Drosophila melanogaster: one gene and its partner. The protein of the gene in region 1 interacts with the protein of each later gene in a pairwise test. Each region holds a gene or a part of one and is shown in the gene's direction. Other genes may lie near its edges.

The links.
Region 2: the proteins of CG13311 (region 1) and Np interact in a two-hybrid assay, tested with the Drosophila melanogaster proteins (one large-scale study listed by BioGRID).

What each region holds. Positions count from the first base shown.
Region 1 is NT_037436.4:8,800,873-8,804,148, reverse strand, and holds CG13311 (uncharacterized protein), read left to right. Parts: upstream 1-1,984; 5' UTR 1,985-2,020; coding exon 2,021-2,050; intron 2,051-2,107; coding exon 2,108-2,539; 3' UTR 2,540-2,609; downstream 2,610-3,276. Other genes in the region: CG32023 (uncharacterized protein), read left to right, coding at 57-509; CG34426 (uncharacterized protein), read right to left, coding at 672-813, 879-1,509, 1,560-1,677.
Region 2 is NT_033778.4:9,003,492-9,008,658, reverse strand, and holds the start of Np (notopleural), read left to right. Parts: upstream 1-2,071; 5' UTR 2,072-2,170; intron 2,171-3,282; exon of another isoform or gene 3,283-3,655; intron 3,656-5,167. Other genes in the region: CG8172 (uncharacterized protein), read left to right, coding at 164-341, 410-788, 873-1,088.

The sequences.
Region 1 (3,276 bases):
GTAACTTGGCACAGAAATCCTTAAAAAATAATGTTCAATTAAGATGCTTTCTATAGTGCTCCATCGTGATCATATCCTATATGGCAGTCCATGTTCTCGGGGACATAAAATGCAATGTGTGTCAACCAAATCATGTCAAGTGCCTGAACGAGACCCACTTTAGTTTTTGCCTCGACGCCGTTTCGTCGGATCAGGTTATCCAGTGTCCCGACGGCCAGGTTTGCACCAGCCTCCTGAAGATCTGCCTGCCCAAGGGATCGACTCCAGCTTCCTGCACTCCAGATGCCGAAATATCGTGTCCTCCTTGCAGTGGAGCAGGTCTATTCGTCTGCACTAGCCGCACCACCTTCCAAATGTGTGATGAAGGCAAGCTCATCGGCCAAGTAACGAAGTGCAAGGATAACACTTTCTGCTCCATGAAGTCGAAAAAGTTTTGCGTAGATCAGTGTGAAATAACGAAATCTCAAAATGGATTCGAGTGCGACAGAGAGTCCCCCTTGGATGTATAAATATAAAGCTCCAAAATACAATACTAAAAGGAAGAACGAAATACAAGTTTTTTTTTACCTTTTTTTAGAGAGGAAATATTTCTATTCATTAAAGTACCGTTTTTAATTTCGTTTACTAAATAAAATGGCGTACTATATATTAGAGTGACATATTAAATCGATTTAGACTAAATTAGTGCATCCGGCATAAGATGGCTTCACAGTACCACAGCTGAAGACATCAGCATCGAAATAAGGTCTCTGCACGTTGCAATTATAGAGCAATCCTGCCCAGCTTCCACTCCTTAGAACACAGTAGATGTAGCTTGAAAAAATCAAAGAAAATGATTATTGTCTTCAGAATAAATAAAAATAGGATGTGGTTATTACCTAGTGCACACTGTGTCATTGGGTATGGGATAGCGACCCGTTGAGTTGATCTCTTGGCAATAGGTGTCTTCATTGAATGCTGGAGTTGTTGCAGTACTTTGGGTAGTGCTTCCTGAATCAGTGACAGTCACGGTGCTGTCCGTTGATGTGTCCGACGAAGTTACGGAAGACGATCCAGTGGAGGTATCCCCAGTTGATCCTGTCGATGAATCAGTGATGACTGTGGATGGGTCTGCAGTAGTCTCAATGGGAGTGACTGTGGATGTGACAGTGGGAGTCACTGATGCCGTGGTGCTTTCCACTTCGGGTTCCAAAACTCGATCACAAATATCTGAGTCTGATGAGTCACACCGGGAAATACAAGGACTTCCGCTGGCTGCATTTTTAACACTGCAGACAAAGTCTTCTGCACAGTCGAAACTATTGGCGGAAACAACATCACCGTTGCAAACAGCAAATGTGGTCCTTGAAGTACAGGCAAAAGTTGTGGATTCTGAGCAAACACCACAATTGGAGACATCACCACAGCCGCGTTCTATACTCGTGCCGTTGGGCATGCAAATAATTCCGTAGGTTGTGCAAATGGGTTTTGATTCGGGGCAAGTGTAGTTGATAGTCTGGTCCCGGACACCTAAAAGTACGATCTATGATGGAAGATCATTGAAAGTTCTTAAAACATACCATCGTAGCACAACTGAAACTCCGATTCACCGATGCAACTGTGCGCATCCACACACTGGCCACATGCGGCACTGACAATTGACGGTGCCACAAGAGCACTCAGTAGTACGATCAACATGAACGCTTTCATTCTGAAATTACAATTAAATCTCTAAGGAGCAACTGCACAGCTTTATAAACCCCGGGTTGGGGCCATATCTCTGTGATGATCTCGGGGCCATAACATTTATCTTTCAATGCCGTGGAATGCCATAAAACTGCTCTTCCCAGTAGCGCAATCTTCGAGTAGCACGGGAGCGCTACGGGGCAAACAGTATCATATATTCTAAGATCTTTAGCATACCTAATCTACGGCATAAAACGCTAAAGCTATCTTCTGTTTTCTAGAGACAGTTCTTATAAAAGCCCTATAGCTGTTGGATATCACAGTTAGTCCGTTAGTCACATTCAAAGTCAGCATAATGCAGCAATCCCAAATCCTAAGAAACCTAGTAAGACAATGTGCAATTTATTTTGAGAAAAAGTTTTAACAAATTTATAATTTTTAGTGCCTCATTGTGGTTGTAAGCTCGATGGCAGTTCTGGTCCAAGGAGTGTGCAACAGTTGCCAAGCCAACAATGTGAAATGCCTGAATGAAACGCACTATAGCTTTTGCTCCGATAATGTGGCGCCCAATCAGGTCCTTCAGTGTCCGGATAACAAGGTCTGCACCGACCTGGCAATCATCTGCATGGACAGCAGTGTAGTGGATAGCTCCTGCTCAGGCACTGCCGATGGATCCTGCCCCACCTGCGATGGAAACAGCATGTTCGTCTGCACCAGTCGCACCACCTTCCAGATGTGCGATGGCACCAACCTAACTGGCCAGGTCACCAAGTGCAAGGACAACAAGATCTGCTCGATTAAATCGGGCAAATACTGCGTGGATCTCTGCGAAGTGGGTGATTCCGTCGAATGCGATAGGGACAGTCCGCTATAGAACTTTTGAATTAATTTAAAATGCTTTCACTACCTCATGTCTAAACTATTAAATAAACCACGATTTTTGTAACTTATATAAATAGTTTGTTTCAATGATAAAAGAAGTTTCCCTATTAAAGTGAAACTTTGTAGATAACATTGATCATTAAGATTTTATTTGAATCTCATCTAGGGCATAAATGTTTTACAATTCCTAGATTTACCAAATGGTGAACGTACGAATCATGCACAAAGCAATCCACATTTAATTTCGCTCTTCCATTAATTTTCTATCTGTCCTTTTTGTTATATAACTAACATAATTTATTGTTAGTAGACAAGTCAGCAGACGAAAAAGAATTTCTTAAGAATTCCAGCAATAAAACACTTTTTATCACTGTTAAGCTAAAAGCTTATCATTGTTTTGGTCATCTCATGTTGTCAGGGCCAAAAGCATCGCAAATTCTATTGCGAAGGTCAGTTCTTTCGCCATAAAGAAGTGAAAACAAATTTGGAGGTATCTCTATTTACTTTAAGTATGTTTTAATTAAATTAAGCAATTTAATTGACATTGACCCAATTGAGCGAGAGTGCTGCGTAATCAAATTAGACATATGAAGCAATGACGTCAAAATGGTGCAAAGCTGTTACGTACCAAAAACATTTTTTTGTGATGACTGTGATGCCGTAAACAAATTGTTCGGCACTTTCATGCTCCGATATTTGGCCTACGGGTGGTGTTGCTCCACATTTAAT
Region 2 (5,167 bases), on another chromosome or scaffold:
CACTGCAATTGGTTCTTTTAAGCTGCACCACACAACCACTCACCACTCACTCACTATGTTGCTATCCTAGTTTCTGTAGATCATTTCTTGACTTACTTTGGTGCTCTATTGGTTGGATCAATGAAGTTACGCTTACTTACTTTATATATATTTCTATTCCCAGGCTGCGGCGAGGTCTACACCCGATCCAATCGCATTGTAGGAGGACATTCCACGGGCTTTGGCTCTCATCCCTGGCAGGTGGCGCTGATCAAAAGTGGGTTCCTCACTAGGAAACTCAGCTGCGGCGGTGCACTGATCTCCAATCGATGGGTGATAACGGCTGCCCATTGTGTGGCTTCGTAAGTACAGCAAAAATTGAATGGAAATCTTTTCAAAGCATACTTATATATCTTTGATTCCTTCGCAGCACTCCAAACTCCAATATGAAAATCCGATTGGGCGAGTGGGATGTTCGTGGTCAGGAGGAGCGCCTAAACCACGAAGAGTATGGCATCGAGCGAAAGGAAGTGCATCCCCATTACAATCCGGCAGACTTTGTAAATGACGTGGCTCTGATCCGCTTGGACAGGAATGTGGTCTACAAGCAGCACATCATACCCGTCTGTCTGCCTCCTTCCACCACCAAATTGACTGGTAAAATGGCCACTGTGGCTGGGTGGGGGCGAACCCGACACGGCCAGAGCACAGTTCCCTCCGTACTGCAGGAGGTGGACGTGGAGGTGATCTCGAATGATCGCTGTCAGCGATGGTTCCGGGCAGCGGGTCGCCGAGAGGCCATCCACGATGTGAGTAAACATTGGCATAGACTTAAGACCGGCATAGGTCTTCCCTTAAAAAAGATCTACATTGAGCAACTTCTTTTCGTCCAGGTCTTCTTGTGCGCAGGCTACAAGGATGGCGGCCGGGATTCGTGTCAGGGCGACAGTGGTGGTCCACTAACATTGACCATGGACGGTCGCAAGACCCTGATCGGATTGGTGTCCTGGGGCATTGGCTGTGGGAGGGAACACCTGCCCGGCGTCTATACGAACATCCAGCGTTTCGTGCCCTGGATCAACAAGGTTATGGCCAATGACAACGCGTAGGCGCCAACGCGCAGGTGTGCGTCCGCTGCGGAGATGCATGCCGTCAGCCAGGCCATGTGATTCCTCTACGACTCGGGGTTGCTAGTGTGTAAGACCGAGGTCCTTGGGGCCTTGTATTTATTTTATCATACTCCACATCCTAGGGTTCCTCGACTCAATCAGTCCAACCGTTCGATCCCTCCACCCTTCATTCGACTTCATTGCATTCCACGCATTCTATTTAAGTTTTCTATATTTATTAAACACTGTTCGAATAATTCCTACATTTGCGATCCACTTTCACTGACATCGTATTGATACCAATAATTATGTTTTAAAAATAAAAACAAAATGTACCAAAATACCATGGCTTTTTATTGACAAACGTCTGATGTGAACATCAAAGATAATTTTAATTACAACTTTTTAAAACTTTATAAAACCTGCATTAACTCGCTGAAATTCATGCAACAGAATTTAACTTTTACATTGCAATTTCCATTTGACGTGGTTCGCGTCTTGGGTAAATAAAAACAAGCTGCATACTTTCAGGCAGCATCTCAATCAATATACAGATGATGCACAAAGAACATGATTTCGAAATGGTTTGGAATCTGTGTTTATCTTGTTGGGCAAATAAGAAACAGAGGCAGCAAACATTAGCCAGAAATGCCAGAACAGGCACGAACATCAAACAGAGATATCTTCTGAGATAGCGCGGGAAATCCAAAACTGGGTCCATGGCCGTGCAACAGGTGCCACATGCTGAGCATGATCTGAATTTCTAATGAGCCCGACTTCCGCTGGCCACCAAGCAGTAACCAATGACCAGTATCATCGCTGGGCATCAAAACTCAATAACATAATCAGGGGGAGAAGAATCGAAAAGGAGCTTATCAGCAGCTCTCCTCTCTCACCAGGCCTCGCTCTTAGCATCCACATTGGCATCCACTTCTTCGGGCAATTGGCCAAAGAATCGGGGATCGCTTGGCTTTCCAGGCCTCAGTTGCTGTGGAGCAGCCCCAGTGTCAAGGTCTCTCGAGTTCAAGGAACGGCCAAAGACACGCGTCATCGCCAAGTCAGTCAGTGGTTGATAGTTAATTGTGCGTTTTGTTTTGCTTGCTTCATTAAACAGAGATGTTGTGAGGCGCGATTCTTGTGTGCTGTATAAATGTGTTTCTTTGGCAGTCTAAATGGCCTTTTCACAAGACCTAATGATGTGTGGATTAGAGCGTGTGATGGTCGCAGTACCTAAACAAAAGAAAAATTCCTACAATTTGTGCATTGATTAAAGGACAAAAGAAGCTAGAAGCCAGCTTTAATTTGTAGCAGAAGTTCAATATTTCCCTTCCTGAAATGAGCAAAGTGTTTTTCCCCAGAAGTGCTGCTCCTTAGAAGTTTCTTCCCATACGTTTCTCGGAAAACGTACTTAAAAGCCAAGGAAGTCACCATGCAATTCTTATCAGCCAACTGGTTTGCCTGTGAGAGCCGCAGCATAATAAAGATTGACTTTCTTAACCTGACGACGTGCATAAATTAAAAGACAAACAAACGGTGGCCCCCCACACTCACACACTCTCACACTCGCACAGGTGACAAAGAATGGCGAGCAGCAGCAAAAACACACTCATTTGCAACACAAAATATATATATTAAAAGAAAAAGCCACGATGTGTGCATGTGTGCGTGTGTGTGTTTGTGCTGTCTTCTGCTTCTTGCTATTTTAATGTGAAAGCGCTGTTAACCCCAAACTCCCCCCGCCACAACCGCCACCACCCCCCGCCAAACACCTTGTGCCGCCAATCAGCTGTGAGCCGCCTCAAAAAGAGAGAGGTGGCCAAAAGAGAGAGAGGTTCATTTGAATAAGAAACAGAAACAGAAACAGCGCCTAGCTTTTGGCCGTTCTCGGTGTTGGCCTTAATGAAAACCGTTATGCGCGTAGCGCAGTCGACGCCGACTGCACGCATGCGCACATGTTGGTGGTTTGGTTTTGGTTTTGGTTTTGGCTTTGACTTTAACTTTGAGCCGGAATGAGCGTGCGAGCGAGAGAGAGAGAATCAGCTAACTTACCAATTTCGTCTTACCAAGTTCTTCAGCTCTGCCGGCGTGGCCAAATCTCAGTCGCAGCGGGCAGCGGCAGCGACGGCAGCAGTGCCAGTGGCAGAGGCAGTGGCTTCACCTGGTTTGTGGATCTTTTGTGTGAGCTCCACACCGCAGACGTGCGCAACTTGTCGCGCTCTTAACTTGGTCTTCTGCTCGTCTTCCGTCTTCCGCGACTGTGTGTGTGTGTGCGAGTGCGTCTGTACTCGGGGACTTAGCGAGTGTGCGTGTGTGTGTGCGAGTGTGAGTGAAATAATTGGCCTGACCCAAAGTCCCGAGGCAAGTTCAAGTGCAAGAATACAAGCCAAAACCAAAGCAACGAAATCCCAACCGGGAAAGGAAACGAATCTCGGGAAACAAATTTTCCCAGGCGGCTAACAGTGCTTTGTGTGATCTTTTTTTGAAAGAAGCGAAAGGTAGAACTGCGGAAAAAGGCCGAGAGCCAGTGTCAAAAGTGAAGAAACTCATAAAACGAACGAGCCACAAACGTAAGAGTTATAATCACACTCATATGGTAACAGCGAATTAAATGAAATGACCCAAAATAGCTGGCAGCAGTGAACCGAAGCTCGACGTCAACTGGCAGCCAACGCAAGTAAATGCAAAAGATCCGAGACTCAGATACGCATCCGCCAGATACGCCGGCTCTTTTTTCCCCTGTGCCAGTGGTTGTGCCCAAAGTGCTTGTGCACTTTCTACCGCGTACAAGTCAATTAAGCGCCAACTCACTGCGGTCACAGAAACAGAAACAGCAACAGACTCAGATGCATGTGCTAAGATACAGATACAGATTCAGATACAGATACCGAGCAGCCGATAGATGCGCATAACTGCAACTAACTGCACCAGCAGAGGCTGCAAAACAAGAGCAGCCAGTTCAAGCGCCGCAAACACGGCCAAAGCTCGAAACGAGTCCAAAGCAAAAGTCGCTCCCTCCTCTGTAAATTTATTGAAATTCCTGTAAAATGCAAGCGAGCCAAAGCGGCGTGCCACAAGAGTTGGGGCACCAGCACCACCACCACCACCAACAGCAGGAGCAACAGCAGCTTAGTACAAGTGTTTCAATTGCGCTGCCACTGCCGACTGCTTCTGCTTTTCCCTCAGCGACCGAGAAAAGGCAATCTTAAGCAGAACTTTGCTTGCTCCAGCTTCCTTTGGCTCCTCGGCAAACGATTTTTGCTTTTCGGTTTAAAGAACTGGTCTGATTGTGGTTATGCCAATGGCAAGTCGTGGGTAACAGGGGTTAGATGGACTGGGAGTTAATTATATAAGGGATAGTTTTATTCAGTTAAAAGTATCATACAAGCTGAGATTGACCAAATACAAGTGATGCAGTTTTTATGTTCATTCAGGTTACTCTATGTTAGATTTTATATATTTTGTGATAAGTACCATAGGGTCGACCCCCCTGCGACAACCACACACGGCTCTTCCTTATTGTTGGAGGCCTGCCAGTCCGCCTGTCTTTGGTCTAAAACGCACTCGACAGCTGGGAGGGCGGTGGGGGGCATTGGAGGGGTGGAGCACGTTTGTCTTGCGGCCACAGATGATCTGTAGGCAGTAGGAAGCCTGTTGCGTTATTTGCATTTCACGTTCTGGGGCCGCTCTGGTTTATACAGGTTTGCCGGGCAGATCGCCTGTCAGGAGAAGTTGATGATGGGGTGATAGGATGAGGCTGCCTGCGTAGAGTAGCGCAAAATGGCTCGCCGTAATTATTGTAATTTGCATTCGGCATTTGCAATTGAGAAATTGCCGTTGATGGTTGTATTGAACCTGCAATGGCAGCTGCTGAAACAATTAGGCGGCCCTCAGCGGCAGGCGATGCGCACGCCTGCCCATCGAGTTTGTGCCCTAAGTCTTTCGTTTTGAGCTAATGAGCTGGGCTTAGCTGGACAGCCAGATGGGGACATGTGGCCAGAAGCGCCAAGCCGATGGGCCTTGGCAGCCCGCAGCTAAGTGGACACAAGACAAAATAAAAAAAAATAAAAAAAAGCCAAATA